Linked DNA regions of Bombyx mori. The protein of the gene in region 5 binds, or shares a complex with, the protein of the main gene of each other region. Links are inferred from orthologs where the notes say so. Each region holds a gene or a part of one and is shown on either strand. Other genes may lie near its edges. The genes, in order: E3 SUMO-protein ligase RanBP2, nuclear pore complex protein Nup214, nucleoporin Nup188, nuclear pore complex protein Nup85, nucleoprotein TPR, PCI domain-containing protein 2 homolog and nuclear pore complex protein Nup205.

Region 1 (4,338 bases), on a different chromosome or scaffold from region 5:
GCATCAACTTCTGAATTAGTTTCCTCGTTTGATTCATGTGATGCTGGTGCAATACCAAATTTAAATTTCGGAATAGAAGCTTTTGAATCAGTTGATATTTGAATATTTGTATTTTGAAACTGTATTGTTTTATTTTCTAAGGTTTTAGCATTTTGACCAGGTATTCCATAAGAATATTGCAATGGTTGTACTTCTGGTTCTGGTTTATTATTTGTTTCTGAAGGATCTTTAAGTGTTTTACAGGCAATGCAATTTTTTACTCCAATTTCATTGCGAATTAAACACATCGGGCACTCCCATGTTCCTGGATGCTTTTTGAATTTGTCTCCAAAACCTAATTCTTTATTATTCACAACAAGTTGTGGTTTCTGTTGTTCACAACAAGCACATTTGTCAAAACTTTCCAAGTTATTGGTATAACATGTTTCACAATACCAAGACCCTGGTTTTGACTTAAATTTATCTCCAAATCCAGTTTGATTGTTCTGTGTGGCTGCATTGTTTCCTTCCTTGGAAGTTTTTGATTCATCTTCCATATTTTTCTGTGCCATGTTTACAGTATCAATAAATTTTCCGCATTGCTCTGGAGTTTTAAAACGCAAACAAAATGTTTGTGTTACCAGTTCTCCTTCTGAAAAGTCCTTAGCGCACCAAGTAACAGCTTTCTCCATATTCTGCATTTTTTGGAATATCATAAATTTTGTTACTGAATGATTGCAACATACTTTCAAAGTTTGTTCTCGTCTCATTAATAATCGTACTTTTTGGGTATTTTCTTTGTGTATAAGTAACTTCATGTTACCTAGTCCTCGCTCTTTCCATTCTTTGTCTGAAGCATCGAAACGTAGGAGTTTAGCACGGTTCTCAAACAACACATTTTCGTCTTCTTCTCCAGTTTTTTGATCAATCAATGTAGGTAAAGGTACAACTGGTTTAAATTCTGCAGTGGGTTCAAAGTCCTCTACTGTGTCAGATATGTTTAATTTTTTAGCAGCGTCTTGTGGAGGTGTAGTATTTTTACTAAATATATTCGTATTCACAGTTGACAAATTGGAAAATGGTGAACTTGACATAGATTTCAAAGAAAAGTCAGTAAATGGGTTGGATTTACCTACAGTTGTTTCAGTTGGTTTAGAACAGACTTCTTTTTCATCCTTAATTGGTTTTATGTTTGGTGTACTACTAAAAGTGAATCCTCCAAGCACAGATTTACCAGGAGTAGATTTAGGATGGTCTTCAGATTTGGAAGAAACGTCACTAGGGGTAGATGCCTTGGTAGTATTTTTTAAATCATGTTTGTCAGTGTGGATTTCAACAGTCTTTGAATTAGCTGCTTCTAAGCGTGCTTTTTCAAAATTTCTATAAAATTCCTGTGCTATATCAGAAGTCTTGAAACGTATGCAAAACATTTCAAGTACCACTGCTTCATCTGCAAAATCGTTGGCGACCCAAAAATAGGCCTTTGTTTCATTTTTCATTGGTGAAATTTCCATTTCAGAAGTAATTACATGATTAGCACAAATCTTGTGAACTTGTTCACGTCTCATCAAAACTCTTACTTTTCCAGTAATTTTATGTTTTAATAATTTAATTTCGCCGAGGCCCCTTTCTTTCCATTGCATGTCTACAAACCTAAACAATTTAGCCCTTGAAGAAAAAATTGTAAATTCATCTTCTTCTCCGGTTTTCACTTTTATTTCGGCAGGTAATGGTACTATCGGCTTGAAGTCTGGACATGGATCATAGCTTTCAATAGATGTATTGCTACGTTCTGATATTGTTCTCGATTTATTAAGACTAGCATTTGGTGAAGGATCAATACTGGCATTATTAATTTCAGTTTTAGCAGCATCCTTTATCAATGATATATCACCCATCTTGTTGAGTACAGGAATTGACTGCGTTGTTTTAAAAATGGATGATTGACTCCAATTTGTCGATGAACTCACAGTTATTCCTGAATTTGGAATACTAAAAACGGATGGTGACACTGTTTTTGTTTCATCCACAGATGGCATAGGAATTTGATAATTATGAGGGGAGCTTTTTATATGTTTAGGAGGAATAGTGACACTCAGTATAGGAGGTGGTGCTGTAGTACATGTAGGTAATGGATCAGAAGATGTTATCACAACATTGACAGGTAACGATTTAGCTGTCTCTTTGGATGTTTTATTTACCAATTTAGATGTGATGGATATTGAAGATTGTGTTGAAATAATCGGAACTGTTGATTTAGCTGTTGTTGTAACAGTAGTTATTGGTGTAGCTGGTACAACTGGGATAGTCGGAGCTGAAGGCACTGGGACAGTCGGAACTGGGGGTACTGGTACAGCTGGTGGAACAAGTTGTGCAATATCTAAAAACATTTGTTCTGGTGTTGGATATACACCTGGATATTGCGCCATTTGGGACCTGGCATGTTCAAATATAGGAGCAGTTCCAGGTGTTGACGTTTGAGCTATTTGGGCGTAGTGATTGTATAAGTTATAAAAATTTTGTCCATATAAATGGTATGGATTAGGTGGTGCTGGAAAAGGTGGAACAAGTCTCTGATTATATGAAGCCATAGCTTGAGCAGGACTATAAGGTAGTTGTGTAGCATAGCCTGGTGTGTTCTCATTATTTCTGCATTCTTTATCTGTATTGTATAAATCACTCTCATCACTTGCTTCTGCTGGTTTTTTTAACTTGTTTACTTCTATTTTTAATTCAGCAATTTGCTTTTTTAGTTCACCGACATCTTTGCATTCATTTCTACACTGGTCTATTTGATCCTTTACATGATCTACTGAAATTTTTAGAAGTTTTATTTGATCCGTAGTTATTTGGACATTAGAGTGAATAGTGTTAGTTATTTGATTTCCTAAGTTGCGATTCTCATCAAACCATATTCTTGTTTGTTGCATAAAATCATTAATTGTAGCATCTCTCTTGTTTAAGTTTCTGATTTCTGTCTCTATTCTTTCTAAAAATTGATGATCAATTCTTGAAGTGTCCATGAATTGAGAATCAACCGCTGTTCGATAATTTGTCATATTTGAGTTGTTTAGGTTAGGTTTAGGTTTAGGCGTAGAACTCAGATTACGAGTATGTTGTGCGGTAGCTCGGACTGGCAAAAGGTCAACAGATGAATCAGAGTCATCCTTAAAATTGTCATTTATTGATACATCAGGATCTGCTCTGTTTAAGTAAGTTTTAATGTTTTCTATCAAATCCTGGATGTTGACATACAAAGGGTGGTTTCTGTCAGGTTCAATTTGTCTAAGCCTGTCCAAGGCTTTGTAACAATAATGCTTAGCTTTTTTCATCATTACAAAAAAGCTTGAATTAGTATTAACTGAAAAATCTTTAGAATTATCATTTTCTAAAACAGCAATTTTAGTATATGTTTGACCAAGAAGGTAGTAAGCTTCTGGAGATTTTAAAGATGAAGCAATGTCAATAACTTTGTCATATTCATTTTCATCAAAATGATGAGATGCAACATATAATTTGCTCTCTTCTATTAAAGAATTCAATTCTTTAGAGTTATGTTCCTTGTTGATATAGGCAAACATTCTCTTTTCTGGTATTTTTACAAAAATTTTGTTAATCAACTTTTCAAGCAGAGGAATTGAAGAAGAGTAGTATAATGCTGCACGGAATTTCCAATGATTCTTCTCTTCGAAATTTGAAATAGATTTAGCTTTGTTATTAAATAATTGTCCCAGTAAACAAAGAAGATGTGGATCAAGACCATGGTTATCAACACATCTAACAACCTCTATACCTTGACTCAATGTGGCTCTAATATCTGTAAGCTCAGTACCTAATTCACTTTGACAAAATTTATAAGCACAATCCCACCATTTCATTTGCGAAAGTGTACAGAGGCAATCTGTAATATGAGCAGGTAAAACATTTGGTTTGTCAGTGGAAACATAAGACATCCTGGTAAGTTTTTGTTGATGGGCAGTTAACGTAGCACAGTATAGAAATGCATAAATATCTAGATTATTTAAAGTTTCGGGCCCACAGCTACTCATTGTTACAGTTGATAAATTAAAAAGAGTGCATCGAAATTGAGTGTAATCTTTATAGTTCAGAAGTGTCCACACATAATGGTGTAGTGAATTTCCAAATACTTTTTGAGCATCATCATCATATGCTTCAACTTCAATTTTGCGAGGTAGTCTTAAAACTGGAGGTTTATAAGCGTCTGATGCAAAATATGAAGATTTAATTAGTTCCAATTGACTTCTTTTATTAAAAATTTTTTCATAGATTGTTTCCCTCCAAGTTGTTCCAACAAGTGTATGTGATATTTGATCTAATTTTTGATTCTTATCTTGAATA
Region 2 (4,338 bases), on a different chromosome or scaffold from region 5:
TATTAGCTTGGAAGCTAAAATATAATTTTTGTATTAAATTATACGTGTTTAGTAAGTAACATAAAATAGTAGTAACAATAATAAATGCATTAATACGATACATTCGTTCACGGCACTGAATATCGAAGTTGTACTAGATGTGGCTGGAGTATCAGGCTGCTTGGCTGTTTCAGATTTCATTTCTAGCTTAATCGGAATGGCTGTAATAAAAAAAAAAATAGTAAAAATTAATAACGTTTTTTGTGTTTAAATATGTTCTTTAAATTCCTTATACTCACTCTGCGTTGTTAGTACATTCGAACTTGTTGCAACTGGTTGAACTACCGGTATCAGCGGTGACGGTTTAACTATTTGCGGGACAAACGTTTTAGGAACATTTTCTTTTTCGGCAATCTTTTGAACGACTTTAGATTCATCGTTGACTTTGGCCGCTATGTTCTCTTTTGGTTTCTCTATCGCGTTTTCATTGTGCTTCACGACGGCTCTCACTTCTGTATTCGGTACTTCTTGATGACTTTTCAAAACGTCCGGTACATTAGAGATGGTGGGTGCAAATGGGGTAGTTGGTTTCATACCAAACAGGTTGGTAATAGGTTTATTAACCTTCTTGCTGTCGGCTGGTTTTGCTGCACCTTCAGGTTCGCCGGTTTCACTGGATTTCACAGAAGCGACAGTCACAGGTTTGGGTTCAAAAACCACAGGCTGTGTTTGAGCACTCGAAGACAAGCTATTTTGACTAAGTCCAAGATTCGCTGTCGACTTATTGGCCGGCACTAACGATTCCGCAGTAGCTGGTTGATCTAAATTTTACAACAAAAGCATCAGTTGGGTATAATTACAAAAAAATATGTACGAAGTCTTATCTTTTGTTTTAACCTTACTTGAGAACGGAGAAATAGGTGAGCATATTTTCTGTCCCATGAATTGCTTCAAGTCATTGTTAGGCGTTTGATTTGAAGACATATTAGGTACAGGCGATGTGTATGAGAATGGGGGTGGTGCATAGCAAACTCCAGTAAAATTAAAAGATTCAACAGGAATTCTAACTCGGGGTTCTTCGGGCTTCGGTTCTGGAATTGTTATTATTATTTTATTAATACATTATTTACATAATCTGTTGAAAAATTTTTGCAAATTTTCAGGCTTAAACAACTAAATTGTGGACTAAAAATAGAAAATAAGTACACGGGCACTGATTATTTTTCTAAGTAATCTCCTCATAACACACAGTAATTGCAATCCTTGTTTACATTGATTAGGCTAAGCATTACTGACATTGAGTTGGGAAGGCGATGAATGACCAGTATGATTAAAGATATTTAGTACACACATAAGTATGAAATATTCAACAAACATGCAATCATACAACCATACCGGTAAACAATGTTCTAGTGACGTTTTGAAGTCCCGGTACTGAGGGTTTGCTCTGAATGGGCGAGAACGGCGCTACTGTCTCGGTAAATTGTTTTGTTTCCATTTTAGGTTCAGCTTTAATAACATCTTTAAGGGGCACTGAAAATAAGACAAGGAAATTAGATTTCTGTATTATATGAGCATTTCTCAAAATTATTGCACAATAGACTTTAGCCTCTGTCCCATTTTTTTAATATTTTGTTCCGGCTAATATATTAGTTCATTACTACTTTTTATAAATTGTGTAAGCAGTATAACTACTCTACTTATTAGAAAGGAAAAAAACAGATTTAAATACAATGAGATTTTTTCATTAAAAATATATATCATAAATCAGCTTCAACCAGTTGTATGAAAAGTGCAGTGTCCCAATCTCAATATCTTACCAAACCATCGATCTTTAGTTGAATGGACATGGGCATTGTATAAATAAAAAATATTATTTATTTATAGCCATAAGTCACAATTCATCCTAAAACATCCTTTTTAGCATTACTTTATAATTAAATTTCTAATTAATGATTTTAACTTGTCCCGTAAAAAGTTCCACCTAGAAATTCCAGTTTTTGTTACCATAATTCTGAAGAAATATGATAATCGATTAATGCAGTTATATTTTAGAATAATGGTAGCATTAGCCGGCTTGGCATCCGTCTTGTTTTAATTTCGACTAGTTCTTTCTGGTGCCGGTACGAACGGTAAAAGTCAATATTTAAGCTAGCGGTCAAAAAAAAAATTCCACCTTTGTTACTCATAAAACATAGATAAGTGCAGATTTTATTGTTATTTCACTTAACCTACTATTAAAGCTCCCATTCTTGATTTCGTTAATCAAATCGAAATAAGAGTAATCGTGTGAGTTACATGTGTTTACAAATAAAATGACATGTTGTTCTTGATTTGTTACTTCTTTTTTTGTTACTTTTGTGTGGTAACGTATAAATGGAAAAGAGAGTAACAAAATAGGAAATCATTAGGCTGAGTATATATAATATATTATTATTATTATTTAACTTTCTGTTTAAAATAATTTTATAATAATTATTGCAATTACAACGGCGTCAATTTCTTTGTTTTTTTTGTTGTACTATTACAGATTTGTACTATGAATTTATTTTATATTATTTATTTATATAAATCAGTAAGTGAGATGTCAGAAGACGAAAAAAATAAACAAAGACAAAAGTGGCGTGCCTGTGTTTACACCTTGGCCTATCATGGCCTTTTTCTTCGACACATTTTATCAAGGCACCGATATGTTATTCCAGATTCGTCTAATAATCCGCTGCATTTTGTATCAAGTATGAACGCTGTAGAAATAAAAATATTATTACGTTGTCCATTTTTTTGGTGCCAAAGATGTGATTATGATTTATACGATCACTATCCAGCCGATGAATGTGATTATTGCTATTAAAGGTTTTTACTGAATTAGAAACCGTTAGGCCTCCTTTTCATTATGATTAAAAAAGAACTGAAACGATATTTTTGTTACCTACTCGTAAATGTTCCTAAATATTTGAATAGGGTATTTTTTAAACGAAAAATGTTTAAATGTCCTTTGACAGCAGTTCATACTATAATCTACATATATAAATATAATTATAATTATTTTTAACACGGGTCAAAGTTTATTATAATTTGAACTACTTCGAAAACTAGCCTTATAAAATCCTAGTTTGTTACCAATATTCCATTTTTGTTACTGTCCCATAAAAGCGGACACGTATTTCTTTTCAAATTTTTTATTTATTATCTTAAAACCTGCAATTTTTTTTAAAAAAGCAAAAGAAGTGTATTGTTATTTCATTTGTGAACGTATTTAAAAATAAAACAACATCAAAACTTCTTTACTGTGATTTTAAAACAAAGTTGTGGGCAAATGGTAACGTAAAGGATATATTACAACTTATATAAGTAACATTTTGCTGTAAATGTTAACAGTTTTTTATAGACACGTAAAATGATGGTTATGTCACCCTATTGAAATGCATAAAAGTTGACGAAATTGATTTGGTGTTTTAATTAACGTAATTGATAGACGGTAACAAAATAAGAATATTTCTCCACCTTGGTATATTTCTACACATTTCTCTACTTTATTACATATTAAACCTCAGAACAAACCTCATATTCAAAATCTTTAGACACCTATCTACAAATGAAAACAAAAAAAATGCTCTAGTTTAACATTTTTATTTTAGTACATTATTTTATTGGTGGTGCATTTATTTTGAGAAATGCTCATATATATTGTAAGGAGCCTCCGAAACATCGCCATCGAATACTCGGCAAGCCTATATAAGGAGGGTACCTAGATAATTCCGCACATTTTGCTCGTTACACTCGCAGTGCACGGACGTTTGGCGATAATCAGTGTTAGATGTACCCCCACTAGCTAAACGCACTATACCGTTACCGAGTAAGCCTATAAAAGCACCGTATTTGGCGCGGCTCGGCGTGCTCACGTGCGACTGCTCGGGTCGTATCTGGAGGGCAGAATCTTCTTTGTCGCGGTCGAGGGCGCACGGTCTTCCGTGCGTCCCATTACGGCCGGGGTTCCCCAGGGTAGTGTCCTATCACCTATTCTATACGCCCTCTACACTAACGACATCCCCACCCTGGAGGGTCACCTTCGGGCGTGGGAGGAGGACGTGAAGTTGGCCTTGTTCGCTGACGACTCGGCCTACTTCTCGTCCTCTCCTTTCCCCTCTGCAGCCATTATGAGGATGCAGAGGCTGTTGGATTTACTGCCCCAGTGGCTGGACCGTTGGAGAGTCGCGGTCAATGTGGGAAAGACCGCGGCCTTACTCTACGGTCCGGTCCGTATCAGAGTCGTCCCAAAGAAACTCAGCCTCCGAGGTGTGAATATCGAGTTCAGGACCACGGTCCGGTATCTCGGATGCGACATCGACCGCTCTTTGA
Region 3 (4,338 bases), on a different chromosome or scaffold from region 5:
TTATGGCCCATTTGTAAAAAGTTGTAACTTAGTCCGTTCTCTGCGAGGGACCCGTTTTTCATGGCACCCCAACTGCAAGGATTTTCCTTGCAAATGTTCCGAGGGCATTGGGATTCTTCGGGTTGGTACTTAAAAAAAAACTCGATGCATCTGTTGATCAGTTCGTAAATGGCTTTTGTGAAATTTTTGTCTTACCATTGACGTGATCAATTTTGTACTTGAATTTTAAATTTAATTTTTCGGTTTCGTTTAAAATATTTTAAATAACATAAATGTTTATAATTTTTTACCTTGGCAATAAGGACGGCGTCGGCGGAGTGTCGTCGCTCGGAGGCTGCGCGGCGTCGGAGGTACGTCGCGATCGGATCATGTAGATCACGCATTGGTACAGGCACGCGCTTATACTTCTCTGTTCAAAATAAATATATATTTATGTAATGAAGATATTCTTTATGCACATTAACGTAGTATATGCATTTCACTTGACAAAAAAATATTGGGTCGGATTAAATTTTTTACAAAAATAACCTTTGTTCAACTAGAACATTTACGTTAATCAATTCCTGAAAAATGGATTGAAAGGTATATATGGAAGTGTTTTTTTATGTTCATTGGTCTTTCTTCCATGTCGAAACGAAGCGACGGACTGACATGTTTTTTTTTTAATTATGTGAGGAAACTGACTCCGGCAACCTTTTCATTGATCGTGAAGCCACGAATAACAACTAGTAATTTATAATCTTATCAATAATACTCACCATAATACCAAAAAGCGAATGCATGTTCTGTAAGCGCCATCTAGATTCGTATTTCACTAATTGAACTATAAGATTCAAAGCGGACGCGCATACATTTAACGAATCGATGCTGACGACCTGTCGTGGCAGGTTTATGGCCTCTATCAAATGTTCCAAGTGGACCCCGACAAATGTGATCGCGTCACTCGCAAAGAACTGACCGTGTTTCATGACCATCATGGATATAAAGTCTAAGCTGTACGAGTACACTTTCCACCACTCCTCGGGCTTCCAAGTTACGCCGTCGAATTTTGGCGGCAACAGTTGCATCCATAAAAACTGGTCGATATCGCTCAGCAAGAGCTCCTTAGAGAAAGGTCCCCGGGAGTACACAGTTAGGCACCGTAACGCCGCCAGGGACGTCTGGTAATGGCGACGGCTCTGTAAACACATCTGCAAACAGCACAGGAGCTTGTTTATGAATCGACTCGACTGGAACCACTGCGATAGTCCCGAGAACATGTCGTCGTACAACTCCAGACACTGTTCCAACATCGCCAATGATAGAACGACCGGCGATACGTCCTCGTACGTCGAGGGCTCGGTGGTCTTCGTGTCCGATTTAGGAAGATCCTTGAAATCGTCAAACAATTTCTCCAACTCAACGCTATTTAAATTGGTCACGGATCTAATAATGCTTTGCGCGGTGGCACTGTTAGCCTTTATTTCATAATCGAGACCGCTGATCGCGACTGTGCAGATGGAGAGGATGGCTTTTTTGGCCCTCGGGTGGAGGCATTCGTATATAATCGCAGTGTTGGTTAATAAACGATCGATTTGTTTGGCACTGGCTTTTCTGTTTTCAAAGCAATCGTGGCTCCAATTGGCCAACATTATGACGTACAGTTCGGCCAACATAACGACCAGTCTTCCGTCTTTCAGATCTTCGAGTTCGTTCAACAAGGCGGTCATGCAGGGGGTGACCATTTTCGCTTTGTGCGCTATATTCAAACTTATCGGTAAGGTTTTGCAAAAGATCGTGGTGAAATCTTTCCAAGAGGTTAACAATCCAAGCCAGACCGGCACTTTATCGACGGGCTCATTTTCGCTTCTACCTTTAAACGCAAATATATGGTTGATCCATTTGTCCAAATGGGTTTTGTTGGTATCAAACAATTGCTCGAGCATCAGTTTCAAAGCGTTTTCTATTTTCCCCCGAGAGACGAATAGTTCTATGCCGATAACGTTGAATATTTGCGAATAAGTTCTCAAGCCGGGCTGTATCTCACTGAAGAGTGGACTGGTCATGTAATCCCAAAATGTTGCGGTTTCGCGTAATTTTTTCACAAGAATCTGCATATTGTTCTTCCATAGAGCATGGAACAGACCCATTATGCACCCTAAGAGCGGACTTTGAAGTTGTTTCGCATCCTGAAATAATAATTACACAATTATGAATCAATCTGTAAGTAGGTACTTCTGTTTGTTTGCTGCTCTGATAAATGACTTCCAACGATGACTTATAACCTTTTACAGACTGTTAGCGTGGTATGGACATGTGACGCGTAAGAGTGGTAGTGCCAGGTAGAGAGGGAAGAGGTCGACCGAAAAAGACATGGATGGAGTGTGTGAATGACGATATGAAAGAGAGGAGTGTGTGTTGACTTGACGGCTGATAGAAGAGACTGGAATTTCGCTGTACCAACCCCACCTAGTGGGATAAGGTGGAGACAAAGAAGATGACTTACAGCCTTCACAGTTCCCAAGTACTCCGCCATATAACCGAGGATGCTTTCGTAGTTGTACAGGTTTTCCTCCTTATCTTTATCGGTTTCCTTGAGTTTTTTATCGTCATTCGTTTTTTCGTAGTTCATCATGAAGAACGCTTCAGTGAGGCCGGGCTGCGTGCCCACGCACGTGGCCACGAACTCTAGTATGGCCACTTTTAGTTCTGTCGTTTCGTACTCGTCGCGAAGTCGATCGAGGAACAACACCCGCACTTGGTACGCGGTCATGTCCAACGACGCGAACAAGGACATCTGGAAACTCTGTGTAAAAAAAAAATCATCAATTTAATTTTTTTTTTTTTTGTTAAATGGATGGACGAGCTCACAGCGCACCTGGTGTTAAGTGGTTATATTCCTTCTATTATAAAATAATATTGATGTCATAAGATAATGATAAAACCTATTGAGCCCCAAACCACTCGTAGCTTCAATTTGAATACTTATATGTTGAGAATCGAACCGGGAACCCGTGATTTAGTTTACTAACCAAATTATCAAATAATAATAACAAGAGTGTGGCAAAACTTTACAGTTTACAAATAAACTATAATATTAAATTATTATTATTTTTTCATTGTATCTAAGCCCTCGCTGCTTAATCAGTATCCTAGTTCGACCTTCGAGTTTTGAGCATGTATGTGTATGTCCTTTTTATCAAAATGAAACTTCACTTTTGCTTGGATTTTAAATAAATATAATAATACTCACATCGGCAAACATCTTCAAGAGCCTACAGCACAACACGGCCAAGCTTTTGTTGAACACGTGATTGATATAACTTGTCACTTTGGGTACAACTTTCAATGAATCCTTCTGCTTATTCTGAGTGAATATGAGATGTTCCAACGGCGTCATCTCGTTGGATCCCGTGACGAGACTCTTGAGACGCAAAGCGAACATGAGCACCGCCACGCACCTCTGTATTATCGATATAAACTGTGAACCCGTACCGGATGACCAGTTCGTTTCATTTTGTATCATGTTCTCTAAATGTTCATTTCCTTAAAAATTAAAATAAAACATATATTTTTATATTTTGTTCTCTACATATAGTAACAAAATAAATGAAAATAATTAAAATTTCAATTTATTCCGATCCGGTGGTAGATACTGCCCTGCTCTTGCAAAGGCTAGTGTTAGCAAGCCCTCTCAGGTTGTGCCCATGAGCTCAACTACCTGTCTGCGGTCCCGTGGAATATCCTTTACACCCTTACAGGGTACCAGTGAATGGATAGGAAAAAACACGTCATCTCGGATCCTCCCGATCCACTAAGGGTGCTTTTAGGTACCCCAAGCACTGGTCATAGTTTTCGTCGAATCCGTCGCTTGCGACTACGGGCTCGGCGAGTAAATTAGCCTACAGACACATTCCACTGAGTTTCTCGTCGGATCTTCTCAGTGGGTCGCGTTTCCGATCTGATGGTAGATTCTGCGAAGCACGGCCCTTGCTAACGCTGGAATGGTCTCTCTAGACCATCAGCTTAGGTAAAAAAAAGGAGAAAAAAAAACTCACCCAGTGAAATAATCTTGAGCAGCACCAAAGCGTTTTCAGTGTGCAGTAAACTATATACACAGGTCCGTTTCAACAGCGCGGTGCTGCCATCTGTTTTCTGGTCTTGCAACACTAAGGTCAGGAAGCGCATACAGCGCTGCAACATGGCGCGCCGGTCCTGTATGTTCGTGTAGCGCCAGCCGTATGCGTTCGGCAACACTTCGCGCAGGAGCAGGATCAATCCGGGCAGAATTATTTCTTTGGTAACACGTTCTTCGGTTGATGCCTGTTATTGTTTTGAAATAGTTACCGTTATAAGCTC
Region 4 (4,827 bases), on a different chromosome or scaffold from region 5:
ATATTGTTTGATTTGAGTATTTCGAGCAGAACATCGAAGTCAACAGAGTTAAAAGCGCTGCTGAAATCTAACAACACTAATAAAGTTAGTTGTTTGTTTTCCATGGCCCAGCGAATGTCATCGGTCACTTTTAGAAGAGCTGTAACCGTGCTGTGGCCCTTGCGAAAACCAGATTGGAAGGAGCTAAGAAGATTGTGGGAGAGGAGAAAAGACGACAGCTGACGGTGGACAATGTGCTCAAGGACTTTGGAAAGAAAAGGAAGTATAGATATAGGCCGGAACTGAGATGGCAAAATAGGATTGGGGCTTTTTGGGATAGGAACAACGTAGGCTTGTTTCCAAGAATCAGGAAAGTTGCTAGAGGTAAAGGAAAAATTGAAAATATGGGTAAGTATAGGTGCTACCGTTGGAAGAATTAGGGCAATCATTTTAGAGCATACGTTATCAATTCCAACAGCCGTGGATGAGATGGAGAAAAAGGAATTACGGACATCAGCAACCGAGACTGGACTTAAGTCAAAAATAGGGATCCGGGGTACGGATAGACTTGAAATCTTAAGCAACGTGGCCGTCTTTGACGAATCACTGAGTGACACAGGAGGGAGAGAAAAATGCTTATTGAGGGCGCACAAGTCAGTATCCTTGACAGAAGAGACCGGAGTTTTGCCAATGCCGACAGATTTAAGGAATCTCCAAGTATGAGCAGGGCTGCGATTTTCAAGTGATTTGTGAAAGTAAAGTCTTTTAGCATCTCTGCACAAATGGTTGCACCGGTTGCGCAGTGCTTTGTATATGGCCAGGCTGTACCAATTAATTAAAAATTTAACTAATCTTTTTACCAGCTTACTGGCATCTGTCACTTACTTGATGCATATCACCTTCCAACAATGCCCGTAAAGTCCTATCCAGCCTAGAGCCTGAGGGCATAGATCCCATTCCAGCACAGGCCGATGCTGCAGCAGACAACTCATGAGTCCTAGACCAAGGTGCTGTGAACATTACGTAGCCTCCCAACATATCAAACCACGATGTGTATGTGCTACGTATTGACTCAAATGCTGAATATTCTCCTATGATTAACTGTGGGACAAAATTGTATAAATTAGTAAACGAATTACACAATGTTTTAGTATAATAAAAAATAAGCCTAATTAGCTCACTTCATCTTCCTAAAGCCTATTTTAAGACTTAGTGTTAATTAATGAACCACTTAATAATATAAAAAAATAATTCTTGAAAACATTTTCAATTAAGAAAAAAATTCATTTCACAATATTCAAATCATAACTCATTTATTTTGAAGTTATAGATTAACTGATTAAATTAATTAAATGTTCTTATTTGCTGTATATTATGCTGTTATTATTACCGTTATTCAACAGGTATGCTTGCATCTGCCATGTTCCTATTTGATTTGGCTTAGAACGGGGAAATTAGCATAGATAAATAGGTAATTTTACAAATTTTTTGAATGTAGTAAATGATGATGATGGTGGTATACACTTTAATCTAAGAATTTTGAGGACAAGAACAGTTTCTAGTTTATGCAGTTACTTAATTGATTCACACATCTTTACTTACTCTCATAATAAGTTCAAGTTTTGGTTGTGATGCCAACACTCTGCTAGTAACCTTAGCTCTGCATTCAGCCTGCCAATGCTTCCAAGTTACTGTAAACTCCCCAGTTGATATACCACCATATATCTGTAATTTTATATCCATGTTATGTAGATGTAAAGTGTTTATGGCAAGATGTGAGGTAAGATCGAACTTTTAGCTATAGGATATCCCAGGTTAAATTTGTTTAATAATATACAACTTTTCATAACCACAATGAAGTCTTTGATCTGACACAATGGTTACATAAATTAATAATAACATAAATTTATAAATTTTGATGGTGTTAATTGTTTTTCCCAAAATAGTTTTCCAGCTGAAGTTTGACATGTGTGGACTATAACCTATATCATGTGAACAGTCATTCAGTAGTTTAGACATAAAAATCTAATAAGACAAGAGTAAAGTTCATATATGGCTGAGCCTTTACTCGCCCACCTGTCCTGGTGAAACTGGAAAGGCCTCCGGGCCACCAGTAATCTTTCATTCATAAAGAAAAAACATTCATATAAAATATCTTATTAGCATGTTCCAAACATCTCTAAATGGTGATGGAATTGTTCAGATAAATTGTCTCTTAACTATCCAAAGTATAATTTTTGCTCTTAATTAATTTATACTGTGGAATACTTAATGAAAATCAATTGTTCCCTTTATTTGTGAGGAATTTAAATGATAATTTGACTTTAGAAATTATATTTCATTTTTATACTCACACTATAAACAGGCATACTCCGTAATGAATTATCAACAAGCTTAAATTCATTTGTTTCTGATAATGAATTTAATTTCAGTAGAGCTCGGGCGACATCTACTCGCCCTTGCACAACCATGCCAATCACAGTATCCCAATAGTCATCGTGGTCTTCTGAACCTCGCTCACAGGCCTCCAGCAACTGCGCTGCAGTCTGCTCATGGCACGGAAAATGGAATCGAACCCATTCTAGGAGGTATGGCAACACAATGTCTCCGGGAATCTTATCTATGTAAAGGATCTCACATAAATGCCAAATACATTCAACAGAATAAAATATTGTAATGTATGATTGTAAATTGATCATGTCGCTGCCGTCTTTCGCATCATTAAGGGCTTCTTGCAAGTTTTCAATGCACACTCTTATAATAGAACGATATTGTCGTGAAAGTTTTAATAATTCCACGTGATTGTCATTATTTTTTGAAGAATCGACGAGTTTCTGCAGAGATAAATATGTACCATTGGATTCGTTTACCAGTTTTCGTAAAATCGGATGAAATAATACAATCTCGTGACGTATATTGAGTATTTTGTTTTCGACATCATTTTTTGGTGTTTTCGAAACAGTTTGACTGCGTGGGTAGATAGAAAACTTGTTACCACTCCTCCACGCACATCCTACGCCCTTATTGAAACATTTTTCTGGTATATTCTGTAAGAAACAAAAAAAATAACTTAACTCAAACATAACCTATATATTCGTTGAATCATGTTAATTACTTACAAATGTTTTAGCTCGAATAATAGGACTACTATCATCGCCACGAACATTATTGTTAGAAAAAGTCGTTATATTCATTTTGTATTAAATCTTTCATGTACACAATGCAATTTCACATAAAATTTTGTAAACATTTGAATGCGAAACAGAATTGATCAGAAACCGCCGTTTCAAATGCGCTGATTTTTTTATTTGTTTCACACATAGAACAAGGTGAAAGCAAAGGAAACAAAATCCATACAGCCAATTATTCTTTTTGGTCAAATGCGTAATAATAGTGGGTTAGTAATCTTTTAGCATGTGTATATGGGCAGGTGTGAGAAAATAAAACAAAATCGCAGGACATGGCTTAGCGGTATCTTTTTCAAAAATACGCACACAATTCTATTTCGACGTCACCTCATCTCATCTCATTGCAATTTCAGATGATTCAATTTGGTTTCATTCCTTCCTATTAGATTTAGATAAGTTGACGAGCAATACGCACCTGTTATTTTTTATAATTCGTTGTCTATTCGCTGGTGTCTAAGGGGCTATTTCAGCTACGCGCAAACAAGTAGATGAGCTCAGAAATTCAACCTGAGAAAATTTGCTAACACTAGCCCTAGCAAGAACAGTGCCGCTGCAAAATCTATTACCCGATCAGAATCACGACTCATTGAGAATATCCGGCCAGAAACGCAGTGGGTTGTGTCTATGAGTTAATTCGATCATCGAAAACTTCGTCGCAATTGACGTGATTGATGAAGAAAGTAACCGTGAGTGAAAGGATCGGATAGGTCATGTTTCGCGATGTAATTTTACGTTGCCTCGTCCTTTGAGTCGGATATGTAATAAGCAGCGGTCACATTAAATAGATTATCGTGTCGCACCGAGCACTACGTTAATATTGCCACCGATCACAAAACATAAAATCAAAGACTCATTTGTATTGTATAGACTATGTAGTCCACCTTTCATAGCGGAACGCTTTCTAACTGTTATGCTTTAGAAACAGACAGAACAGTGATACCCAATAATGAAATTTACTGAAATCTACATGTAATTTCGTTCGCGTTCGACTTTTGTACTTCGGGTTTCAACTTCTGCACTTTCACAGATGCTAAACGATTGATAATCTACCATGATTATACGTTTAAACTAGAAGCAACACTAAATTAACAAAATAAAATAATCCATACAGTTACCTTGCCTCCCCGCCGAAAAGTTTCTTACAAACTTTAAATACACGAACATACGGCCAACAGTGCTAGACAAACTTTAACCCAAGATAACTAAAAAGTCGAGTATGATAGCCGTAAACATATTTTAAAAAGGTATGCATTGACAGTTGACGTTTTTGTTTGTTTTCGTAGTTTGACGCTCGTGATTCATTGTGAAACGTTTATCCCCTATAATAAAAAAAGTTTTTAAGTTTATATTTACCCTGAAATTAAATCCTTCCAGTATTTACAAGGTATAAAGGTACGTGAACATTTGATGACTTTGCATTTTTATTTAATAAGTAATGTCGCTGACCGGATGACCTGTTGGAGGACATATTGTTGATTTTGTCATGAATTAAATCTTGACAGTTTCAATTCGTCAAAAACTGTTTTGTAAACGGTATATTATTTTACAACAAAATTATAAAGTAAGTCAACTGTTATAATATAACTCGACGTTTTAATTAATATAATGCGATATCCAATATAAAAACAATTTAACTTGAAAGTTTTCGTTTGTTGTCAAA
Region 5 (4,338 bases):
CAAGAAACTCAGCGGGTGTATTTTTTTTTTATTTTTTTTTTTTTTTTTTAATTTTCATTTTTACAGTGAGTATTATAACATAACAATTATTACAATATTGAAATGCCCGGAGCGAGCAACTCATTCCCACTTTGTGCAATCTTCTAGCGTACATATTAACTAGTTCTGTCAAAAAATACGACCACGCTGAGGTTGAGATTCAACAGCAGATATAATGATTTCAAAACTAATATGTACAGTACCAGGCAATAAATATTACACACCGATATTTAGAAGGAGACAGTCGTCTAATTTTGTTTTGTTGTATAGCGTTACTTGTATGAGACGAAACACTAAAGATCCGATATCTATGGAGACTAAATGTCAATTCGGTAATGGCATTCCCGATCCTGCGGACAGAATGGAAAGCAGTCGACGTCGCCCCAAACATGTCATTTCGGATCCTCCCGATTCACTAACGGTGCTTTTAGGTACCTCAAGCACCGGTCATCCTTCCTGTCGAACCCGTCGCTTGCGACGAAGAACTCGACGAGTAAATTAACCCTCAGACACAGCTCACTGAGTTTCTCGCCGGATCTTTTCAGTGGGTCGCGTTTCCGACCCGGTGGTAGATTCTGCGAAGCACGGCTCTTGCTAGGGCTAATGTTAGCAACGTCGTCAGGTTTAAGCCCCGTGAGCTCACCTACTTGTTAAGGTTCCGCTAATATAGCCTCTCAAGGCTATCAGCTTAGGTAGAAAAAAAAGGGTAAGTGGCGACAGATGCTCTACGAAGCAAAAATTAACCGTCCTTTTCCCACGGTCGATGTGCAATATTTATGGCCGGGTACTGTACCTAATGTGTATTACCGAATAACTTCCACGGATAGGACAGTCGTTACAACGATACAATTGAAGGTTTCTGTTCATTTTTCAAGCGGGATAGCGGAACGTTATCCACGCTGTGATGTCATGGTCTGGCAGCCACGGTGGCGCTTTAATAAACGCGTATTTCGTGAACACGTCTATAAATATAGGTATACAAAGTATAGCGAAAGTAGTTGGCGTGAAATGCAGTAAATGTTAGAGAAATACTCAACATATATATTTAACATATTTTAGATATTACGACACATGTAACTACCACTTGTATTTATTTTTGTGACCTATTAATAATTTGCAAGCTTCCAAGATCATGCGGAAGCTGAAAGGGTTTCTATCTCATTTTAGGTATCCTTGAGTATATAGTACATTATTTTATTTTAGTATCACTACCACAAACATAGAAAAATTTTCCCAGTTCCTTTCTGGTTTGACTAACCCATCATTTCTACGTGGCACGTACAACGTAGGTGTTGAAGGAACTATACTGTCATCGCCGTCATCTGCACCGTTGCCTCCTAAAGACAAGGCGCCACTTGCTATATGGAAAAAAAATACTTCATTGTGGCAGGTCAGTTTTTTATAGATTACTAACGTCTCACGCCTGTGTAAGGATAAGTAGCACGCCTTAATCTTATTCAGAGGTTACCGGTGATTATAGACATCATAATCTGAATACCGCCACGAACCTTGAAACATGAGATTAAACTTCCAATTATATTATACATAACTATACAGCTGCCCCACTCTTTAAGCTGTAACGCATGACTCGCGGTACAAATAGGCAAGTGAGTGGCGGACGCACAATACGGCGCGCCACCAGTAACATGCGATAGAAACGCAATCGTCGCCAATACCATTAACACTGTTACTGTTCGATCATAATATGTCCGCAGTAGTCATTTTAGCTTCTTTGGTGTTGGGGCCGTTTTAGCTTCCTAGGTGTTGGGCCTGTTTTAGCTTCCTTGGTGTTGGGGCCGTTTTAGCTTTATCTGTGTTGGGGCCGTTTTAGATTCCTTTGTGTTGGTGAAACGCTTTCTTGTTTTGAAAGGTTAAGAATGCAGTGGTCGAGTTGTGAGCACAAAGAGTACATACGTTCGGTTCCAGAGCTGATGGCCTCGATCTGTTGCTGCGGGGGCGCGGGCGGCGCGGGGGTGGGCTCGGCGCCCGCCTCTGGGGACTGCACAGGTGAATCCTGATCAAATAAAATTACAGTGAACCATATAAGTATTGCCACTAATGTGCAATAGTATTACTCATATTTACTTTCACAGCATGATGTGACTGACACTAATGCACTAAGTAATTTCCTGCTCCTTCTAATTCATCAAGCCTTCTCAGTTTAATACTGCAATAAAAGTGTTGCTCTTTGAAACTCACTTTAAAAATAACCAATAATGAAGAAATAAAATAAAAAGTATGTTTTGTTCAAAAACCATTATCGAATCCTAGCACTTCAGGGCACAACAAATATATTTATTTGTAAGAGCCAGTCTCCTCACAGTTTATCGACGAGGACGCGGCTGCTTATTTTCAACATAAAATACTAACAAACATTACAAATAGAAGTGAAGTTCGAAATTGTTTTGTGGAAATTTTCTTCTCTTTGTTTCTTTTTTATTTCTCTAACATTTTTATTTTTATTTAGAATAATTACTTGTTTTTTTACAGATATTATATTTCTCATTGCAAACAGTTCTAAAAGTATTATCGATTTTTTCGTTACTCTATTGAATTATGATTTCCTAATAGTTTTATGATTTGATTATTATCCTGTTAGGTTATAAATGCGAAGATTATATTGTTATTGACATAAAGTGTAAAGTACACAACTGGAGTTTATAAGTGAAAGATATATTATAATAATCAAATAGAACTTTTACATTAATGTTCTATATCGATAAATCAAAATGCCACACCAAACTAACAGCCGCCGCACATTGCATCTTGCACATTGTTAAATGATTATGCCTAACAAAATTAACACGTTTCATGATAATTTAAAAAGTTAGTTGGACAAAAAAAAATTATATTCTTTTTCATTGAACAACAAGGATTAACCCAAGGCCTTCCTTCAGCACTTCTGTGCTAGAAACAGTACACTGCGATGAGTCTCGAACCTATGCTCTGACATTAATTAAGTTCTTAACTGTCGAGAGAGACAACTGGTCAACACACAAAATTACCTGTTGTGCTGTATTCTCAGAGTCATCGCCCTCGACTTCCTCTTCGTCGTCTGCGCCTTCCACTTCCTGTTCCTCTTCCACATCTTCTTCATCCTCTTCACCTTCCTGTACAAAATAATATATGATTATATAATGCTCTCATCTAAATAGGTCAGTGTAAAGCTCTTTGTGTATTATGACAGAGTACTATGATCGCCAACCGGCATCGACTGATGGTAGACCATATTGTAAGCCCGGACGGGTAACCTGCCTATTATTCCTTCGAAGCAGTAATGTTTCAGCAGTTCTGTTTTGATAGGTTTGATTTCAGTTATGGTAATACAATTGAGATTTCAACCTCATGTCTCAAGATGGATGGTGGCATTCATGTTGTGATGTCTATGGAGATGTCTATATTTTAATTGCAAGAAAGTAGTTATCATGATGTTATTGAGATGTTAACTAGATGTCTCTAGGAGCGAGGGGTGCCAGCGTTCATCGCTTAACATTAGACGCCCGTGAGCTTGTATGTTCGTCTACGCTATCAAAACAAATCTAGTGCACCAAACGGCCCCGATATTGCTAAGAGTTCATAGCATCAGTCTACAACATTAAATTATTAGCTTACTCTGTACATGGTACCAGTGCAGCGTTCGTCGTCTTCCTCAGAGTCTACTACAATAACACCCTCGTCGTCTTGATCGCATCGTGATGAAGTTGGTACTTGATATTCCACTTCTACAGACCTTTCGAATCCCTATTTTCAGATTTAATAAATTATCATTACCTTAATTCGACAGTTAAGATTTTTATATGAAACTTTAATTAATCTCCTAAGCCTATGTGTCGTTGTAAAGTATTATTAAGGATCATTCCCGATGATGAAACGTCATTGCTATCCTAATAAATGAGAATCTATAAAACTTTATTACTAAGCCAAGCACTATGATGGGCGGCTCGCTTGATATTGAACGGTAACCGAAGCCCATAAAACGTGAATGCCGCCACCCACCATGAGACATGAGATTGAAGTTTCAATTGACATTTTATTTCTTAGCCTGCTAATTTATATCCGCTGATTTTTATTACGCAAAAAACAAAGACATTAGTCGTCTACCTACGACCGCCTGTTGATCTATTTTTCGAGAATAGTTTATTTATAAAGCCCGTAGTTAATTAATCTTTCTGAGAACATTATGTAAGTACCTGGACTCTTGTTCTTTTTGTGGCGGTAGATCTGGGCTGAAGACGGCGCTTGGGAGGACGGGCGTCGGGCGGCGGGTGCGAGGTGGTGACGCCGGGCGGCGGCGGCGAC
Region 6 (4,866 bases), on a different chromosome or scaffold from region 5:
CCAATTCAATAAAAATTTGAAAAACAATAGTGATGGGAACATTGAAACTATTGCTCACTTTGGTAATGGAATATATTTGCAACATACGATACAAAACAGGGACAAATAGTATTTTCATAAATAGAGATTCCGAACGACGCGAAATATCGAATTCAAAATTATTATTTATCTGTAATCCCTAGACGTTTATTTAAATTTTAAACTTAATACAGATCAAGCAGGATTCAAAACAATTACACATCATGTCATTAATCTCTCATCATCATCATCTTTTATTAAAATCCACATTAATTACACTCAATTAATAGATATTATTGTTATAGTGCTTAACCATATTCACTGACAAGGTTTGGACTCATGTTATGTATTATATGTATAATATTTTGTTTTATTAATGACATATTTTGGTGTAAAGACACCCCTACCGTTGTGAGTTTCTATTTTATTTAATGACAACCCTAAACACATTAGTGCTACTAAAATAAAAAAACTGGACTACTGAACTGTTTTGTGTATTTTTATGGATATTATATGTAATCAAAAAGAAAGTATTTAAATAGTGAAATTGCGTCAGATATACAATTGCTCATCATCACATTTCACTTAATCAGCCTTTATGCTAATGGAATCTTAATTTTTATTAAAACAATCAAAAAATTAAGTGTGTATTCCCCTAGGTATTATTTAAATGGTATAAATTTAATACAGACTAGATAATGGAGGAAAAGCATTTTGTTTACTGACAACCACTTTCTTGTGTTGGTATGAGATGTATCCTTTGATTTTTCCATCATATATGAGATTTGCAACAATACATTGAGTTTCATCTGAATCAACATCTTCCTGTCCCATGATTTGTAATGCTGCCTCGAAGCTGGCTATGTCTATCTGATGTGAATTCTCCGCTAAATATACTTTCCTAAACAAATTTCTGTATGCTGTAATCTTTAATTTTTCTACAATCAAATAAATACCAGCCGTTATGAAGAACTTTTCATGTTCCTCCATAACCATATCGATACCACGCAAATCTCCATTTTTCACAGCTGATATTAGATCCCAGAATTGTAGCAAATCATATTTCTCTAGTAAATATTTTGCGGGCATGAAACCCAACAGCATTTTCACAGGAACTAAATAAGTTAGAATGAGCCTTTTATTTCGTATGCTTCTTCTGTGACAATTTTCAAAAGCAAACGATAAGTATTCATCAGCTAGACGATAGTCTGAGTCAAACATGGCTTTACGACCCACAAAATATCTGTATGTAATTTGTTGGGCCAGTGGGAATTGATCTTTGAATGGTGAAGAATCAATGGCTCTAATCAATGGTTTGCAAAGGTGGAGCTTGTTTATCCTGAAATATACTTTAAGAAGTTGGTTTACAAGACACAACATGCCTATCTTTTTGGTATCCACATCTGAAGCTCTGTTGTCAGCAGCACAGACTCTGAAGCAAGCTAATAAGCTCTCTGCTGCTTTTTCCATAATTTTACTGCCATTTTGAGCTGAAATATTGACAAATGAAATTAATTGTACAGAATACAGATTATTTAACACAATATTGACTAAGACAACAACTCATGCAAGTATTTGAGATAATTTCGTTTTTTCGACATTGTACCACCATAACAGAGTTGAATCCTACCACCTGTGAATATACTGAGCACTTAGGGTTAGTCATTCTTCAAACAAGACTAAGGAGACAAATCTTGAGTAGAAGGGAACCTGCACTTAAACAGCCACCAGATGATGAGTGGTTACTAGAGTCTGTAGACGTTACTTTGTGAAGTCTGCCTTAAGTGATGAAGTTTAAGGCTGAATTGTATAGTGTAATTGCTGCACTATTCTTCAAGCTAGAATACATGATTGCTTTAGTACAGAAACAAGCAGTTTGGTAATACATACCTAGTTGTGCAAACTTATAACACAACCGACCATCATAAATACTATAAGATCTCATTTCTATGACACATTATTTTCCTTGGCATTTGAAGATTTCAATATGAGTACTCCAGGCATCTTATTCTTAATGCCCTAATCACTTGATACTATTACCATCTTATCTTAGCTCTTGAATGATGTATGCAAATTCATACTTACGGCTAGATGCCTCTGCTTTCTGTGCAACAAGTCTAAGATCTAAACATGCAGCATACATAACCGGAAGGCACCAGTTCTCTTCTTTCTGTCCCTGTAATAGCTTTACGACAGAGGCCACACATATACTCTGATGATCGTATGCCTCAATGTAATCACTTGCATATAATGCCTGGAATGCAAAGCATTTTTTTTTATTGCTTAGATCGGTGGATGAGCTTACAGCCCACCTGGTGTTAAGTGGTTACTGGAGCCCATAGATATCTACAACGTAAATGCGCCACCCATATTGAAATATAAGTTCTAAGGTCTCAGTCTCTGACCGAAATGCATTACTGCTTCTGACTACTACTGACTCAAGAGGTCTTGCCACCAGTAAAAGTATTTGACGAGAAGCTAATAAAACGATATATTTAAAATACACTTAACAGGTAATGTTCGCTGTAGTAACGGCCAGATTAATAATGGTACATTTACTATTTTTTAATCTATATTTATCAATTTAAAACCAGAATTAAATTCATATATCTCACCTTAAGACATGATAAGTGTGCAATTACAAGTTCATCTAATGGAGCAACACAATTTCCTGTGACAAGGGTTGCAATATCGCTAGATAATAGATTCCTATTGTAGACATGTTCATCTCTTAGAGACAACAGTCTAGACAATATGTTACCTTGTCCCGTTCTGTACATACGTTCCACACATTGTATGTATTGATTAAGAGTGCCAGTTATCATCGACATTGTGGTTAGGTATTACTGGATTTTTAACTTTGAATGACTAATTTTAATATACAAAATTACAAGAATGTAGTTTTTCCTATAATTTCGTCAATCGACATTTCATGATTGATATTTATCAAAGAATCAGAGTTTATTAGCGCAAAATCGGTCTCATGAAAACATTGAAATTTTGTTTTCTTTATATGTCATTTCCACTTTCCACAGCTCAACTGGAGAAAGGATAAGTTTTTCATTCCTTGGATAGGCACACGGAAAGAAGTCTATACCGCTAAAGCATTTGGAAGGCCAAGACTATACTTATTATGTGAAATGGAATGTAATTAAGTGAAATCAAATGTTTATTTATTTTTTTAGATGAAGTGAATTATAACAGCGGCAACCATACATTTTTTTTTGTTTGAGACACAAATTGCAGGCATCATACTGTACTAACGATGGGTTAATACTGATATTTGTCAATATACAAATATATTCGTTATGTAATATTATAATACCTTAACTAATACGTGAATATCCTGATATCTTAATATACTTTGATAAAACGGGTAAACGAGTTAAACCTAATACGGTATTCGTGAAATAAGTTAATAATCATAGATAATACACATTAGTTATTAATAATATAAATAGTATATTGTATCTAGGAATTTGACTTCAAGGAATCAAGAAATGAAGGTTCAAACATTAAAAAGTAATGCATTTAAAAATTCCCAAGCTGTATTACGAATATCTTAATGAATACTAATATATCGGTCTCACCCTTATACTGTACTGTGTTCCATTTAAAAAAGTAACCAGTGCAGCTATTAAAGGAATGGCTTCGCAGTATACTAATTTTACATTATATTTTACAGTGCTCCCAGTGTACATCGGAACATAGCCTTAAGCATTAACACAGGTGCGAAAAAGCTAGTGAACCACTGTTTTATACGTTTAAGCATAAAGTAAATGAACAAAATGTAACAAGTCACATTAATCCTTTTCTCACGATCCCGCCTAAAGGTCTTGAGCTTTTTGTGTCTGTTACACGAGAGTTTGTTATTTCTACCAGATAGCCAAAGGGAATCTATTTTTATATTAAATTGATGTACCGTATTTGCAGCTAAAAAATAGATAATATGTAATGCCTACACCTATCTGACGCAAACGATACATATTAAAACGAACATCAATCTGTGCACTTAATACACGAGAAGGCTTGGGACTTTTTGGCGGGAATGCGAAGAGTGAAGTTGTGAGATTTGTTTTATTAAATTTTTGTCTATTAAGTGTTTCTTCAGGTTTAAATGTGTAATAACGGTGGTTTATTAACTATTTAGTATCTGTGAAAGTGCTCGTTCGTCCCGTTTCATCTCGTCTCGTCTCGTCTCACTTCGTTTTCATTTTCATTTTCATTTTATGACATTTCGTGCATTGTTTTATATTAATCAGCTTCCTTCATTTCATACCACTTTTCATAAAAATAAAAATAAGACTTGACTTAAAGGTCCTACTTACCAGGTCATAAAATCCCTAAAAATTAAAAAAGAAGACTTTGTTGTTCTTTATTTACACTTCTAAGTTTTTGCTTAAATCACATTTTAAATTACGAAATAAAATGGAAGAAAACGTTGCGTTGGATTCTAGCAAACAAAAAAAGTTTATCAAATCCATTAAAGGATTGCAAAAAACTATAAAGGTAGTATTAATAACATTATATATTTGAGACTAGGTTATAAAAAACCAGTGTACTTATTCTTATTTATATCACAGAAGAAAAAAACGCAAGCGAAGGATCAGACCCCCGTCACCCCTAAAGTACAAGAAGAGAAAATAAAAAAAAAGAAACGTGTAAGAGGGCTTGTTTATTTGGGACATATCCCACATGGATTTTATGAGGTTGGTTACAATTCTTTTTTTGCTTTAATTGGCAAACTACCGTCCCACCGTCGAAGAAGAGTCCCTGTTGTTAATAGACCGCCTGGAATAATTTGATTTGTTGTAAATACCAATAAAAAAAACGTACAAAAGGTCATTT
Region 7 (4,833 bases), on a different chromosome or scaffold from region 5:
GGCGAGGTGGGGATGCGGGGGCGCGGCGCGGTGCGCGTGCAGCAGGTCGAGCGTGGCCCGCACGTCGCAGCGCGGCAACGCGTCCAGCACGCCCGCACCCAGCCCCCCACTGCACGCCTGCTCCACGTAGCGGCTCACGTACCACACTACCTCCGCACGTGCCGATATTGACCTGACATAATGCAATGTATTTTTTATTTTTATTGCTCAGATAAGTGGACGAACTGTCGGCCCACCTGGTGTTAAGTGATTACCGGAACCCATAGACATCAACAACGTAAATGCCCCCACCCACCTCCAGAGACATGAAGTCGAAGTTTCAAGTGTATTGCAACTTTGAACTTTAAGACACAAAAGTCTGTTTTATAGTACAATAGCTGCCTCACCCTTGAAACTAAAAAGTATTACTTCTGCATGGCAGGTCAGCCATACTTATCCATACAAGTTCATGAGACTTACCGATAAAAGTCGTCGTGGCCTAAAGGATAAGACGTCCGGTGCATTCATATTAAGCGATGCACTGGTGTTCGAATCCCACAGGCGGGTACCAATTTTTATAATGAAATACGCACTCAAAAAATGTTCACAATTGACTTCCACAGTGAAGGAATAACATTGTGTAATAAAAATCAAACCCGCAAAATTATAATTTGCGTAATTACTGGTGGTAGCACCTCTTGCGAGTCTGCGTGGGCAAATACCAGCACTCTGCCTATTTCTGCCGTAGAGCAGTAATGCGTTTCGGTTTGAAGGGTGGGGCAGCCGTCGTAACTATACTTGAGACCTTTAACACCAGGTGGGCTGTGAGCTCATCCACCCATCTAAGCAATAAAAAAAAACACCATACCACCAATGAGACTGAGAGATGTAAATGCTGACTAGTACTGCTGTTAGTAAACCCTCACTAGACAATGTTAACATCACACAATCATTCTTATTTTTCAATTTACAACCTTTTTCTGCACATAATGTATTTGTAAAATGAACTAATTTAAAACAAAAATTTGCACTCACCAACAAACACCTTCTCTGGCCATGCATAGTTCTTTTAATGCCTGCACAAGTGCTCTACGTCCATCATAGTACAGCAAAACGGCCACAAGGCCTCGTGGCAGACCAGGGTGACGTGGTAACTGTCGCTGTGCTGTATGAAGCAGCTCTAATGCAAGGTATTCATTCACATTGAACATATCTGTAGACAAAAATATATTTTATGGACTATATTATAATGAATTCACAGAACTAATTTTGGTTCTTTAAAACATTAAGTGAAACATTAAAATACAATGAAAAGATTTAAGTTACAGAGATGTGAACCATGCAGGATTTACACATACTTACAATGTTGTTTTTATGAATGAACTGGCCTGTAGGCTTTTCCTGTTTCACCAAGACAGGTGCGCGAGCAAAGGCTCAGCCAGGAAGGAAGGGATTTATTTGCTAACAGCTGCCTGAGCGCCTCTGGCGGAGACCTAACAACTCAAAGGCAGCTGCTTTGCAAATGAATCTACTACCAGATTGGAATCGCTAACAAGATCCGGCAAGAAACTCACTAAGCTGACGTATGGGTTAGGTGCCCGTGTGAGTATGGTCACCAGTGTCTCTAAGAATGCTCCTAGCAAGCTAAGGCATCTAATGCAAGAGTTATTGGATCTAATGTGTATGGACGTGTCTAGGGCGTCTACAGTGACTGGCTCCTGGTGAGCAGGAGTTGGGGAGTAGTCAGCGGCAGTATTGATAACGCGATTATCTTGACAAATAGCCTTGCGAAGTACTCTTCTGAAACTGACTTCAGGTTTTTCTGGATCAATTCAAGATTACCGATGTATCAAAAAGTTGAGCAAAAAAACTTCAAATACACAAATTTTACTATAAGAAACCAAACAAAATATTGGAGTGAAAATTTTTAAGCTGGAGTCTTGAAGTCACAAAAGATATAGGATTCCTTCGTATTTCTTAAACTTTTAATGAATTCAAATTCATAATATTACCTGATATAATGATAGCTTCATCCACAAGTTCTTTAGATATGATGGTCCTCCCTATGCTAGGCAGTGTGATACCTTCAGTCATACCCCTCTTTAGTTCCTCCCTGCTTGCCAGGTTTTTTGGCTAAACAACATAAAAAAAATACAAATTTACAGTAAAGTATAACACAACATTAGGTTTTGATTTTCAAGTTCAAGGTTTCAAAAAGAAACCACCAGAGATGAAAACACAAATTTAATTTAGTTTAATTAACTAAATTTTATAATCATTTTATACCTATCGGTTTACATTGTGGCATTTAGCATTTGAGTGGATTAATGATGACTTAATGAATAGTGAAATCAAGGTGATAAGGAATTAAATCAATTGCATGAAAGAGTGGTACTGCACATTTAATTTTACAAATGGTCAATTGGGAACCTTTATTTTATTACTTATAAGGGCAAATGAGTTCTCAGACCACCCAATGTAAAGTAGTTACCAGAACCCCTTCACATCATAACATTAATGCCTCCACTGTATTTGCAATAGACATAAAATAATTTATAAACAATGTAACCTATTATGAATATTTACAAAAGTAAGATTATTATAAAAATATAATAAAAAGCACACTTGACTTCTTACAATCAAATTAATTGCTTTTCTTGATACTACATACACTTCAAGATCATCTCGAGTTTTGTTAGGTTTAATGAAACAGAAGTATCATGAAAGAAATTAGTAAAAAATATGTCACTCACTGGATTCTTAAATAAAGCTAGAAATGTTTGCTTGTGTCTTCTAAGAACTGACTCAAAGGTGTGTACAGCATAAAGGGCCCCACCACTCTCATGTGTAAGATAACTCTCCACTACAGACACCAACTCTTTGTAGGGCGTCCACAGATCGTCTGTGGTATTGCCTGAAAAGTGGTAGTTCATTTAGACAATTCAATTAAACGTATGAACGCAGTTAGGAAATAATAATTGTCTGGTCTTATTTCTCGGTGAACCGATATATGTTTGAAGATAATCAATGAAATTCATTTTAATTGTTTTTTACAATTTTTTAATAGATTTAAATAGAGAATTTTTTTAAACATACTTTGTTTAATTCCGCTATATAAATAGGAATTCTACTGCAGAGAACGACGACTGCAGTATTGTTTAAGAAGATCATTTGAAAGAAAAAAGGGAGATTTGTACATTTATACTTTTAGTAAAGAGAATAAAACAAATTTAGGTTATATGTCGGTATCAGTTTTGTTTACCTTCGTTGATTTCCATGATTACTTAGCTGTTGGCATCAGACTTGAAACATAAATATTAGTATTTCACGCAAACTTAAGGTATATGACTATCTTATTAATTATATTTATTATTAAAATACTATTAGTTTGGCGTTTGAAACTTGAAATTTTTTGAATGTCTATAAATGAAGCGACAAACAAACGCGCGCGGTTGCTTTTTTTTTTGACAGTTGTTGTCAAAGTCAAGTTGAGTAGTGGTAGCAGTTCTATTTTTCCAACTAGAAAAGTAAAGATATCAAACCATATATCCTAATCTTTTTTACATATTATTTTTTACGATTTATGAATCCCTTATTAATAAATAACAAATCAAAATAATTTAACATAAATCCACACAAGTAACATCCCATACCAGGCACCAACCGACTGACCATGGAATTAGAGATATGGAATAAACTCAGTAAAATGTTGGTTATTTCTCAGTTATGTTTATGTTGCTTAAATGGGTGGACGAGCTCACGCCCCCCCCCCCCCGTCACCGTTCCCGTCGAAACGTAAATTAACCGTCAGACACAGCCCACTGAGTTTCTCGCCGGATCTTCTCAGTGAGTCGCGTTTCCGATCCGATAATACATTCTGCGAAGCACGGCTCTTGCTAGGGTTCGTGTTAGCAACGTCGTCAGGTTTGAGCCCCGTGAGCTCACCTACCAGTTAAGGTTCCGCTGAAATAGCCTCTCAAGGCTATCAGCTTAGGTAGGAATAAAAAAACCTACCCCTGGTGTTAAGTGGTTACTGGAGCCCATAGACATTTGCAACGTAAATGTGCCACCCACCTTGAGATATAAGTTCTAACTTCTAAGGTCTCAAGTAGGTATAAGTATAGTTACAACGGCTGCCCCACCCTTCAAACCGAAACGCATTACAACTTCATGGCAGAAATAGGCGGGGTGGCGGGTGGCGGTACCTACCCGTGCGGACTCACAAGAGGTCCTAATTTTATAATAATTTGCGGGTTTTATTTTTATTACACGATGTTATTCCTTCACTGTGGAAGTCATTCGTGAACATTTGTATTAGAAAAATTGGTACCCGTCTGCGGGATTCGAACACCAGTGCACCGCTAGATACGAATACACCAGAAATCTTATCCTTTAGGCCACGACGACCTCAGAGTACAGTAAAAGCTCTTTATTCGCGGAGTATATGTTCCGTAAATATGCCGCGAACATAGAAATCGTGAAATTTCATTTATCAGGCAGCGAAGACGGCTCCTGTCAAAGACAGAACCAATACAGCGGCGATGTCATATCAATTTAGCGTTTTGTTTTAGGCCTGGTGGTAATAAGATCTATTTAACTTTTTATTAGTCTATTTGACGACGCGTTTACAAATGATATTCGATTGGATACCTACTTATCGGAATTCCTTTTTAACAATGTATCGATTACGTCCGCGCAACGGCGTATCCAGGAGGGGGGTCATGACCCCCCCCTGAGCTAGTTCCAGGACTTGAACTAACTTGGACTAATTGAAGAACATCATGATTTATTTATTATCTTAACTTGCCCACGACTATGTGACCCCCTCCCGGCGCCAAACCTGGATCCGCCCTT

The links.
Region 1: nucleoprotein TPR (region 5) and E3 SUMO-protein ligase RanBP2 share a complex: the UniProt entries of both Drosophila melanogaster proteins name them as parts of the nuclear pore complex. The link is inferred for Bombyx mori from reciprocal best matches to the Drosophila melanogaster genes Mgtor and Nup358.
Region 2: nucleoprotein TPR (region 5) and nuclear pore complex protein Nup214 share a complex: the UniProt entries of both Drosophila melanogaster proteins name them as parts of the nuclear pore complex. The link is inferred for Bombyx mori from reciprocal best matches to the Drosophila melanogaster genes Mgtor and Nup214.
Region 3: nucleoprotein TPR (region 5) and nucleoporin Nup188 share a complex: the UniProt entries of both Drosophila melanogaster proteins name them as parts of the nuclear pore complex. The link is inferred for Bombyx mori from reciprocal best matches to the Drosophila melanogaster genes Mgtor and Nup188.
Region 4: nucleoprotein TPR (region 5) and nuclear pore complex protein Nup85 share a complex: the UniProt entries of both Drosophila melanogaster proteins name them as parts of the nuclear pore complex. The link is inferred for Bombyx mori from reciprocal best matches to the Drosophila melanogaster genes Mgtor and Nup75.
Region 6: nucleoprotein TPR (region 5) and PCI domain-containing protein 2 homolog share a complex: the UniProt entries of both Drosophila melanogaster proteins name them as parts of the nuclear pore complex. The link is inferred for Bombyx mori from reciprocal best matches to the Drosophila melanogaster genes Mgtor and PCID2.
Region 7: nucleoprotein TPR (region 5) and nuclear pore complex protein Nup205 share a complex: the UniProt entries of both Drosophila melanogaster proteins name them as parts of the nuclear pore complex. The link is inferred for Bombyx mori from reciprocal best matches to the Drosophila melanogaster genes Mgtor and Nup205.

What each region holds. Positions count from the first base shown.
Region 1 is NC_085121.1:11,016,648-11,020,985, reverse strand, and holds part of E3 SUMO-protein ligase RanBP2, read right to left. Parts: coding exon 1-4,338. UniProt on the Drosophila melanogaster protein: E3 SUMO-protein ligase. Component of the nuclear pore complex (NPC), a complex required for trafficking across the nuclear envelope.
Region 2 is NC_085123.1:8,936,736-8,941,073, forward strand, and holds part of nuclear pore complex protein Nup214, read right to left. Parts: intron 1,513-4,338; coding exon 1,375-1,512; intron 1,071-1,374; coding exon 882-1,070; intron 801-881; coding exon 279-800; intron 201-278; coding exon 102-200; intron 15-101; coding exon 1-14. UniProt on the Drosophila melanogaster protein: Part of the nuclear pore complex. Serves as a docking site in the receptor-mediated import of substrates across the nuclear pore complex including emb, RanGAP and phosphorylated Mad. Protects mbo/Nup88 from proteasomal degradation at the nuclear pore.
Region 3 is NC_085111.1:4,864,872-4,869,209, forward strand, and holds part of nucleoporin Nup188, read right to left. Parts: intron 4,303-4,338; coding exon 4,038-4,302; intron 3,526-4,037; coding exon 3,233-3,525; intron 2,786-3,232; coding exon 2,486-2,785; intron 2,169-2,485; coding exon 759-2,168; intron 410-758; coding exon 291-409; intron 1-290. UniProt on the Drosophila melanogaster protein: Component of the nuclear pore complex (NPC), a complex required for the trafficking across the nuclear envelope. Required for proper protein transport into the nucleus.
Region 4 is NC_085123.1:528,343-533,169, forward strand, and holds the start of nuclear pore complex protein Nup85, read right to left. Parts: upstream 3,287-4,827; 5' UTR 3,174-3,286; coding exon 3,099-3,173; intron 3,027-3,098; coding exon 2,334-3,026; intron 1,705-2,333; coding exon 1,582-1,704; intron 1,081-1,581; coding exon 865-1,080; intron 484-864; exon of another isoform or gene 112-483; intron 1-111. UniProt on the Drosophila melanogaster protein: Component of the nuclear pore complex (NPC) that seems to be required for NPC assembly and maintenance. Required for nuclear import of phosphorylated Mad via importin msk.
Region 5 is NC_085117.1:12,306,374-12,310,711, reverse strand, and holds part of nucleoprotein TPR, read right to left. Parts: coding exon 4,230-4,338; intron 3,781-4,229; coding exon 3,652-3,780; intron 3,150-3,651; coding exon 3,045-3,149; intron 2,054-3,044; coding exon 1,954-2,053; intron 1,398-1,953; coding exon 1,298-1,397; intron 1-1,297. UniProt on the Drosophila melanogaster protein: Component of the nuclear pore complex (NPC), a complex required for the trafficking across the nuclear envelope. Functions as a scaffolding element in the nuclear phase of the NPC.
Region 6 is NC_085115.1:3,909,649-3,914,514, forward strand, and holds PCI domain-containing protein 2 homolog, read right to left. Parts: upstream 3,236-4,866; 5' UTR 2,850-3,235; coding exon 2,634-2,849; intron 2,273-2,633; coding exon 2,104-2,272; intron 1,509-2,103; coding exon 700-1,508; 3' UTR 55-699; downstream 1-54. Other genes in the region: Nopp34 (nucleolar phosphoprotein), read left to right, coding at 4,447-4,527, 4,602-4,727. UniProt on the Drosophila melanogaster protein: Required for the export of nuclear mRNAs and involved in mRNA trafficking in the cytoplasm.
Region 7 is NC_085121.1:1,006,505-1,011,337, reverse strand, and holds the start of nuclear pore complex protein Nup205, read right to left. Parts: upstream 3,466-4,833; 5' UTR 3,258-3,465; coding exon 3,242-3,257; intron 2,894-3,241; coding exon 2,733-2,893; intron 2,113-2,732; coding exon 1,992-2,112; intron 1,193-1,991; coding exon 1,015-1,192; intron 173-1,014; coding exon 1-172. UniProt on the Drosophila melanogaster protein: Plays a role in the nuclear pore complex (NPC) assembly and maintenance, but with limited role in NPC permeability. Required for specific nuclear import pathways such as Mad import.